2 linked regions of the Drosophila melanogaster genome follow. The protein of the gene in region 2 purifies or fractionates together with the protein of the main gene of each other region. This does not show direct contact. Each region holds a gene or a part of one and is shown on either strand. Other genes may lie near its edges.

Region 1 (4,719 bases), on a different chromosome or scaffold from region 2:
GATCGTCCAGTTCGGGATCGTAACGACCAGAGCCTATCGTAGTGTCTGTATCCAATAGGTTGTCAAGCACAGAAGTGAGCTGGAAGGTTTGTTTTATTGTGCCAAGCGTGGCCAGGGTGCCATTATGGAGCAGATGCAGACTTCCAGTAAGCAAGCGTTTCATGAAGGCCATTAGACGCTGCTGGCTCATATTGCGACGACGCTTTACGAGCACCTCATCCAAAGTTCGCAAAATAATGGCGAAGTCATCGTGATTTTTGCCTGCCTGCACCGCCAGCATATTTCGGTAAAAGTGCTGGTAGAATCGGATGGGGTCGATGTTTAGCACCTCACCCTGGCCGGAAAGGATAACGAATATGGTCTGAACACAGTGCAATCGCTCCCGGTAGCCCAGCTCGTCTTGGTCCTCTAGAATGCGGTTGAGCACATCGATTAGATCGGAGAAGAAGTCCAAATTAATGACGTGCGCAAACCTAAAAATCATCCTCTATATTTAAAATTCCAGGAAAGAGATTTACAATAACCACTCACTCTGCCAATCCTTCTAGAATAGCGCTCAGCACGCGGGAGGTGGGATCGTTCTTAAGCACGCGGAAGTAAATGGTAAACACCATCTTTATGATCTCGGTGAGCTTCTGATGCTTTGCTTGCTTGTTTTCCTCGGCACGGGTTTCCTCTAGTTCTCTGTTAACCTCGGTGAGCTTCTTACGTCTTTTGCGCTCTTTCTTGGACAAGCTTAGTAAGCGTTGACGATGCGACTCAAGCTTCTTTTGCTTTAGCTCATTCTCCTTTTCGGCATCTAGGTTTACGTTCTTGATTTTAAGGCCCATCAGACAGGTGATGCACTCCACATGAACATTGTTCTGCTTCGTTTTGATCAAGTGATTGATGCGTCGCACTATAAAAAGAGTCATTTCTAACCGTTTGTCGTTGGAAAAGACTGTGCGGAAGCACTGATGGACCGCCGTTCGCATCTCTGCATAATTGCAATTCAGCATATACACCAGAAGCTGGGCAATGTTTTGAACGTAGTTAAAGTATGGATGTGCCACAAGCAAGTCACACATGCACTGTACTGCCACGGTGGCCAACTTCACAGTCTGAGGCGTCCTTAGACCACCTCTCCTGTTAACTTGCGCTGTGATCTGTTCCAGTTTCTGCAGGAACTTTTTAAACTGTTGAAGCAAGGCGTTTTCAAAGGTTACACGATCAAGAGTGGCCTTGCGAAGCGTCTGCATCTTGGTGTCGACCTGACCCACTCGATACTCGGGCAAGATATCTTTGAATATCTCGGTGACAGAGATTATGGCCAGCTTTCTGACGGCCATTAGGTTGGCCTGTCGACTGGCTGGGTTGATTTCGTCCATGAGTTCGTACAGAGCATGAAAGTTGCGCATCTTATCCTCTGGCTTTTCGAGCAGCCCGGAACAAATGATTCCAATGCGATACTTCTGGCGTTCGATCTCCTGCTGCCGGGCAATAAGTAGATCCGTGGTAGAGATAAGTTTTTGGACGGGAGCGGCGGTGGCGGCCTCGACATCATTGACCACATCGTCATCGCTGTCCTCATACTCCGTATCACCGTCTTCCTCGGAATCATCCTCCTCTTCTTCTTCATTCTTCTTTTTCTGCTTGGGCTTAGGTATGTAATCCACCTCTGTCGTACGGGTGATAATCTGACCATCCCTGGACTTGATTGGCAGCAAATCCAACTTTATTTTTTGCGCGTCCTGCTCTTTTTTCGTGTCAGAGGCATAGGCCCTTTCCAAGCCGATGGATTGTCCTTGGTCAGGATCATTCTCGCCGGTCGTCTTGGCCTTTCGCTTGCGTTTGTTAGCCTGGAGCAGGGCAAGATCATCGCCATCCAGCATGTCCGCAACGTTTTCAAGCATCTCATCGTCGCCATCCTCGTTGTCTTCCTCGAGCGGATCCAAGCCCAGGGAGGCCAATTTGTTGTGCTTTTTACGCTGTGCTAAGTTGTCCCGCTTTCTCGCCTTTTGGGAGAATATATTCTGACCCTGTTCGCGCTTCGATTTCAGTTGGTCGCGCTTTTGCTTCTGTTTTTGTTGCTGCTGCTTAGAAAGCGGTGTTTTTTTCGACTTCAGGTGAGCAGCCCGCTTGACCGAGCTGATTTTGACCTTTTTCTACAATGATTTGGATTAGAATAAGCATTAAATAATTTTACTTTCCACTTACAGTTCCCATTGCACCCGTTTTAGTCAACTAATAGTTAATTTTCACAAATGTTGCCTTCTGAATGGGACGAGCACATGGAACGCCAACGGAACTGTCCACTCGTCAGCGGAGCGCAACAGCTGCTCAGAAGCGGATAGTATTTTGTTTAGTATCTTACATGCGCTTACTTAAAATACTTTGTTTTTGAAGAAATAAGTAAATGACACAAACTGGCTGTTTTTTTTATCACTAAACAGAACCAATACTATAAAATACAATTTTCGGAACTCAATCTTCATAGCAGAGATATCATTGTTATTATAAATTATCGAAATAATGCTGTAGATAACTATGCAATGGTCACACTTAAGTGAGAAGTGTAAACAAAACAAACAGATGTCTGACGAGGAGGAGGATTATATGTCCGACAAATTCCTGGTTGGGTGAGATTACACTCACACCTAACTAACAACCAACCACCTTATGAAAAACTCTCATCCTTCCCTCATTAGTCTGCAAGATGTCCGACCGAGTTTGGTGCACAATCGCGGCAGAAAGCGGCAGATTGAAGTCGAGTCCAAGAAAGATGAGCTGAAGAAGCGCCAACGGGAGACAGCAGCTTCTTCCGGGAACGTAGACAATGTTCGCCTTCAACAGTCCCTCAACAAACCAATTTCCGCCGACAACAAAGGATTCCAGCTACTGGCCAAGATGGGCTACAAAGCCGGTTCTGGGTTGGGCATAACTTCGGATGCTCGTACTGAACCCGTGGGGATAACTATAAAGAGCGGTCGTGGAGGACTTGGGCGCGAGGCAGCCGTTGCAGAGTTGGCCCTCAAGCGGCAGAAGTTGCGGAGGGCACATCTCCTAAACAAGGCCGGCATTAAAAGCGACGAGGAAGTCAGTACAGAGGCTTATAGGAGGCGCGCGACCCATAAAGCGGAGGAGCGAAAATTACAGTATGACATAAAACGGTGCCAGCAGACCTGCGAATCGTTGGATCTTAAGTCCGCTATCACAGAACCAGATCTCGATTTCTTTTGGCCACCTAAACCAAAAGATGAAGATGAATCACAGAGCGACGCCGACGATCCTGAAGTCGAGGTGCCACCTAAGCAAGAACCATACAGTCCCTCGGAGCAATTAGAACTCCTCACTGGCTACCTGCGCACAGCCTATTGCTTCTGCTATTGGTGTGGGACCCATTACGATGACGCCGAAGATCTGGGCTCCAACTGTCCAGGACTCACTCGTGACGAACACTAGCTCCAATCAATAAAATAAAATAAAAAAACTAGCTTGATTGCTTACACATAATTTCATAAAATCAGCAGGTTTAAAATATTTTACAATAAGTAGTCAAAAAACAGTAAGCGGTGTATCTGGTTTGGAGGAATGTCTATAAATGAGTTGTAATCCAGTTAGTGGGAGCTACAAGCGACCCTCCAGTTTCTGTATCAGATCGTGGGTCCTTTCGATAACACTAAACACGAATGGCCGTTCCATTGGATCTGTTCGCAGCATGTACTTAATTAATTCGTGCATGTCCTAGACAAATATTTGGAATTAGTTTCCTTTACAATATAAAAAAAAGGTTTATTACCTCTGTGTAAATTGAATCCTCTGGAATGTTTATGTTCCCACTGAGCACAGCCAAAGCCACGCTGTCACCTCGCTCGTAGATGGGATCGTAGGGTGAATTAAAGTAGCACATTGCATAGAGCACACAGCCAAGACTCTGAAAGAGGGAAATGTTAAGGAAGAACTTCAATAACGCTCTCTTGGATCTGCTTTACCCATATGTCAGTGCGCTCGTCAATTGTGCAATATGTTTTCACGGTAAATAACTCTGGAGCCCGGTAGACAATGGAGCTCCTCTCCTCGGCTTCGTCCTGCAAGCGCTGAGCATCCGTCTGGCCCACAATCTGCAGTCGGGCTTCTGTCATTGACCCGAGATCCACAATAATTGGCTCAAAAGAGTCCGACAGGCAGATGTTGGCCGTTTTTAGATCTCGGTGGGCCAGAGGCACCGGCATTGCCTCGTGGATGGCCTTCAATCCCTCGCAGACGCCCAGAAAGATTTGCAGGATCTGGGCCTCGGGCATGTGGTCCTGTTTCCGCGATCGCAGCTGAAGGTGGTCCGCAAGAGATCCGTGCTTGTAATAGGGAAGCACAATGAACAAGGTGCTCGTTGTGTTTATAACTATGTCCGCCTGGCCCTTCAGCTCGTAATCCACTACCCGGATCACGTTTTCCGAGTCAATTTTTCGACAGTTTTCGATTTCTCGCAGAGCTATATTCTGATCATCGATGCTGTGGCAGGTGATGCGCTTTATCGCATAGCTACGTCGCGTGGAGGCGTTTTCCCCAAGGTCGATTAGACTGAAGCCCCTGTTTAAACACTCAGATTAGATATATCAGAGGAGATAGTGGGAAAAATGTGGTACAAACCCCGTCGCCAGCCTTTCGCGGATTGTGTATCGAGATCCGTTTATGTTCAGGGTCTCCTTGCGGCAACTAAAGAGGCAGCCGCGTTTCATGATC
Region 2 (4,719 bases):
CTCAAATAGACGGGCACAAAGCCGGCGTTCTTCCAGAACTTCAGCAGCTCGGTGGTGAGGCCATAGGATGTGCCAATATAGTCCACGTGTTCCGGGACACGTTCGTGCAAGCGCTGCAGAAGTGTGGGTATACGACTACGTGGCCGGATTTGTTCCTTCAGCAGACTAAGTTCCTCCTCCTCCACTTCCTCGATACCTATGCAAAATTTAAAGTATTATGTAGTGCATAATAAACCATTGGCGTGCGTGCACTCACCTTTACCAGCATCCTTGCTGGCAACTGGACCGTCCTCCAGATTAGTGTGCTTCCTTGCATAGTAGTCCTTGAGCAGCTGAATGGCCCGCTTGCCATAGCCCATCCTCTGGTAATTCGGATGCGTGGCTACCCTCACAATGCGAACGCCACACAGCTTGGGAAAATCTCGATCGCCATACTGCTCGGCTACGTTCCAGGGAATCAGATCGCCCGCCGCCTTCTTGCCCCTGCCCAGGGAATCGCTGATGCTCTGGGCGGAGATCTGACCCTCCAGTGCCACTTGGATAACCACCAATATCTCTGGCAGGGCGTCCATTCGCTGAACCGGACCCAGTAGACAGAATAGATGATGCGCCGGGGCATCGCTCATCATCTGCAAATCGTTTGGTGTGTTCTTGTAGTGCGAGGACACATAAATGGAGACCAGGCGATGGAGAAAGGCCTCGGCAGCCTTGTGATACGAAAACAGGGCGTCCCTGTCCACATAGTACAGTTCACAAGCATCCGGCGTGGGACAGCCCGAGCTAATACTCGGCACCGTACTGGCATCCAAGCACAGCAGGTTGATCAGCCACTTTTCTATGTCGTCGTTCTCCTGATACCGAATCGATTCCTCCAGTTTCAGTGGCGGCCTTGCATTGTTATCCTTTTGCAGCTGGGAAATGAGCTTCAAGCTCAGCGATCTGCCAGTGCCCTCGTATCCATTTATCGTACTGGCCATGAATACCAAATACGGACCGATCATCTTCTTTACCAGCGGCAAAGGAATGGCAGCCGCCTCATCGATCAGCAGAAGATCGGCTGCGTTCAGCAGATGAGTATCGCTGGGAGCTATGTACTGAATGGTCTGCCTGCTGCTTCTCGTAATATTTATTCTTATTATCGCCTTTTTGTAGTCGGCATTGGTGGAGCGTATAATGGTGTAGTCAGCATGCTCCTGGTACTCCAAGGCATCGAAGCCCTTGAGCACAAATTCAAAGAGCGTGATTAAGTTCTCCGGATGCGGTGAGGTAACGTAGATGTTCACATAGCCAAAGGCGACGGCGGCGGCAATCGACAGACCCAGGGCGGCCGATTTACCACGACCACGAGCCGCTGTTAAGGACATGGGCGGCTTCAGTTGCTTGTCGACCAGCGCCTCAATGAACTGGGCAACGGCATTGGCCTGATCGTAGGTCTTGCAGAGATTAACCAGAGCTCCTGCTGGTTGAACTGTGAGCAGGCTCTCCTTCAGCTCCTTGAGGCTAGCCTCGTTGGGCGATCGACCGGCGCCTGCGGGCTGAAAGTTTAGAAACAAATGGTATTAGCTGCTTTAGAAGATTTACAAGCATCAGCTTACATTCACTGGCTCCACGTTGATGGTCTTGGAGCTAAGTGGCAGCACGGTGAGGTCATCGTTGACCACCAGACAGCGCTTGCAGTCCGCCAGGGAGAGAATGAGTCGCTCATTGAATCGACAGGTCACCGTCTGATGGGCTTCTGTGCGGAATCGCTTGTGCACATCCATGCTCATGGTGTACAACTGTTTCAGCGACTGCAGTGTCTTCAGCAGCAGGATGATCAGACCGCCGCCCTCAACCGTTTCCACAGTTCGAGCCAAAAGATTGGGGGTCAGGGCCTCGAAGTCCTGGAGCACACACACGCCGTAGGTTCGTCCGAGGACTGCGTGCGTCTCGGAGTAGTATCTGCCGTGAATGGTGGTGGCCACTCGAAAGGAATCGAACAGGTCCGCCTCATTGACATCCACTTTGCCCACAGCAATCTTCTTTGCTCGCTTTTTGCCATGACTAAAAATGTATCTAGTTAGCTGAGTTTCTGTGTAATAGTTCTACAGTTGGATACTCACTTGGAGATGGCCTCATCCTTGTTCTTGTAGCACCACAGGACCGTGGGTCGCGCCTTGACCGTCGACTTGGTCAGGATGTCGTAAAGAATGGGAACCTGGTCGCGCGCCTTGTCCCCGATGACGATGAACATGGTTCGGTGGCCCAGCTTGACCCCATTCTCGATCATCACGCGTATCCGGTTGTCTATTTTCTTCTTCACCATGCTTCGGCTTTCCTGCGTTCACTTTTCACTTAAAAACTCCGGTTTTCCGAAGTAAATAATGCAAATGAAATTGTTGCCCGTTCAAAATGCACGTGTGCGGTTTAGAGATGGGCGCTTTGTCGATAGTCGCGACTCAACTATCTACTTTACAATGTCACGGAAATCGTCAATCATATTACCATTGTGAAATGCACATGAATGTTGTTTACACGAAGTCTTAAATCGTAGAATTCGGGTGGGATTTGTATTGATGTCTTCAAGAAGGCAGCTTGAATTTCTACCAATGAGATTTTTTTAAAAATTCCCGATTAACACCACATTCGATGTTTTGAGTCAATGCGATACATTTATCGAGTAGTTGTGCATCTCTAATTCCCCAAGCGCACGTTTATCAAAACAGAACATATTTGATTGCTGTCGAGGATTAGCATAAATTGAAGATGTCATCGTGGAAGAATGCGTCGAAAAGCAACCAGAAGGTGCACAGGGAGCGCCACCAGCCGGAGTCGCGCCAGCATCTGGGATTCCTGGAGAAGAAAAAGGACTACAAGAAGCGAGCCATCGACGCACAGAAAAAGCAAAAGACCTTGAAGCTATTGTACCGCCGGGCGCAGAACAAGAATCCCGATGAGTTCTACCACCATATGATCAACTCCAAGCTGTCCAACGATGAGCACCACGAGAAGGACACGAAGGACGAGCACACGCCCGAGCAATTGGCCCTCATGCAGACGCAGGACCTCAAGTACGTGGTGATGAAGCGCACCATGGAGCGCAAGAAGATCGAACGCTTGAAGGCCTCGCTGGTGGACGTGGATGCCATTAAGGGAGCAGCCAACAAACGTATCAAATTTGACGAAGACGGATACATGGAGTTGGACATGGGCGAATGGCTTTTAAAGCATGATGACGAGGAGGAAGAGGAGGAAAAGAAGAAGAAATCGGTAGGTCACCTCTTTAAAACCAACGAGGTTGTAAGCTTTTGTGAGAAACTAATTTATAATTGATATTATACTTATGATTTATGATTCTACTTGTGTGTAACGATTGCCTTTAAATTTTTTGTAGAAAACAACTGAACCAAACCCCATCAAACAGCAGCGCATCAACGAGCTGAAGAAACGCGAGCAGCGTGAAAGGGAACTCGGCATCGTCCAGCAGAAGATTCAGCTGAAGAACACCCTCAAGCAGCCACGCCTACTGAAGCCGAGGAAAATAAAGCCGGGAACCAAGGACAGTGCGCCCGTCTACAAATTCCGCTACGAACGCAAGAAATAGAATATTTCCCCTCTAGTTAATAAAGCAATTAAGTGTTAGTTGAAGACTTTTGACAAAACTATGATTTTTATTGTTTTGGATTAAGGAATTACATATATAATTCCCAATTTTGAATGCAATTCAAATGCAAGTAACAAGTTAAATGAGATATGGCATCCTAGTTTTGGGTCATTAATTCGAATGTTCTGATCAGAATATTTATATATACCGAATAGAATAATATATACCGAAAAAAAACAAGAAAAAGTAAAAGCGAATGGGTATGTAACTCGACTAAACGCTTTTTTCAGATTCGTTAAATATTTAACGAAATTTAGATCTTTCCAGGGCACAAACCAAATTTAGTGCGAGTTTCGTTAAGTTAGGTACGCTTAGCCAAGTCATGACCCCAACTTCAAACTGAATTTAAACATTTGTAATGTTTTATTTAAAAAGTCAGCTTATTTTTTAAATTCATTCTTCTTATCTCCGAGGAACATTTCAAGACTAATATTTTATATGTGCTCTTGCAAGTTAGTGTATGCAACATAAGTTTTCAATATTCAATGTAACTTTTTTATGTTTGTCTTTTGTAAAAATAAGCAACCGGCTGCAACTTTTCGAATTGAAAACCGCAGGCGACAGACAACCGGGCAAACACTCCCCGTATCTCTTTTTTTTTTTTCTTTTTTGTTTGCCTGCTGGTCCTTGTTTTCCCCGATTAAAAACATATGACACCATTTTGATGAGTCGCGCATTTTGGCACGCCAAATTATGCATAAAATAGATCGCTATGTTGACACTTTCCACAACAATAGATGGCTAGAGACCGGCGTTAAGGGGATGGAAGGGACTTGAATGGGAATGGGATGGGATGGATGGGATCGGATCGGATCCGCGGTGTACGGCTAACCTAATCGGACTTGTCACGAGTGCATCACAACAAACCGGGCTCATCGGGGATGAAGTTGAGGATGAGTCCGAATGGTAACGCAAAACCTGCACAGATTTTTTAACTAGCATCAATTGGGTTTGTAATTTGAAACTTAACTGCCAAACTGCGAGGGGTTCGGGCAAAATGGTATTGGGTATGAATGAATGGAAATGGTATTGTGATTGCGGTGGGCACATGTGTGTGACTGCTCCGAATGAATATG

The links. Proteins that work in one complex are often made in the same cells at the same time.
Region 1: the proteins of l(1)G0020 (region 2) and Noc3 purify together in Drosophila melanogaster (affinity purification with mass spectrometry, with the first as the bait; one large-scale study listed by BioGRID). This does not show direct contact.

Annotation. Positions count from the first base shown.
Region 1 is NT_033777.3:7,244,679-7,249,397, forward strand, and holds the start of Noc3 (nucleolar complex protein 3), read right to left. Parts: upstream 2,292-4,719; 5' UTR 2,206-2,291; coding exon 2,197-2,205; intron 2,145-2,196; coding exon 532-2,144; intron 474-531; coding exon 1-473. Other genes in the region: CG10053 (uncharacterized protein), read left to right, coding at 2,572-2,618, 2,688-3,441; CG1227 (uncharacterized protein), read right to left, coding at 3,607-3,723, 3,779-3,913, 3,972-4,566, 4,627-4,719.
Region 2 is NC_004354.4:8,717,861-8,722,579, forward strand, and holds the start of l(1)G0020 (lethal (1) G0020), read right to left. Parts: upstream 2,418-4,719; 5' UTR 2,306-2,417; coding exon 2,103-2,305; intron 2,044-2,102; coding exon 1,596-2,043; intron 1,536-1,595; coding exon 257-1,535; intron 197-256; coding exon 1-196. Other genes in the region: CG1789 (uncharacterized protein), read left to right, coding at 2,746-3,249, 3,374-3,583. UniProt on the Drosophila melanogaster protein: RNA cytidine acetyltransferase with specificity toward both 18S rRNA and tRNAs. Catalyzes the formation of N(4)-acetylcytidine (ac4C) in 18S rRNA. Required for early nucleolar cleavages of precursor rRNA at sites A0, A1 and A2 during 18S rRNA synthesis.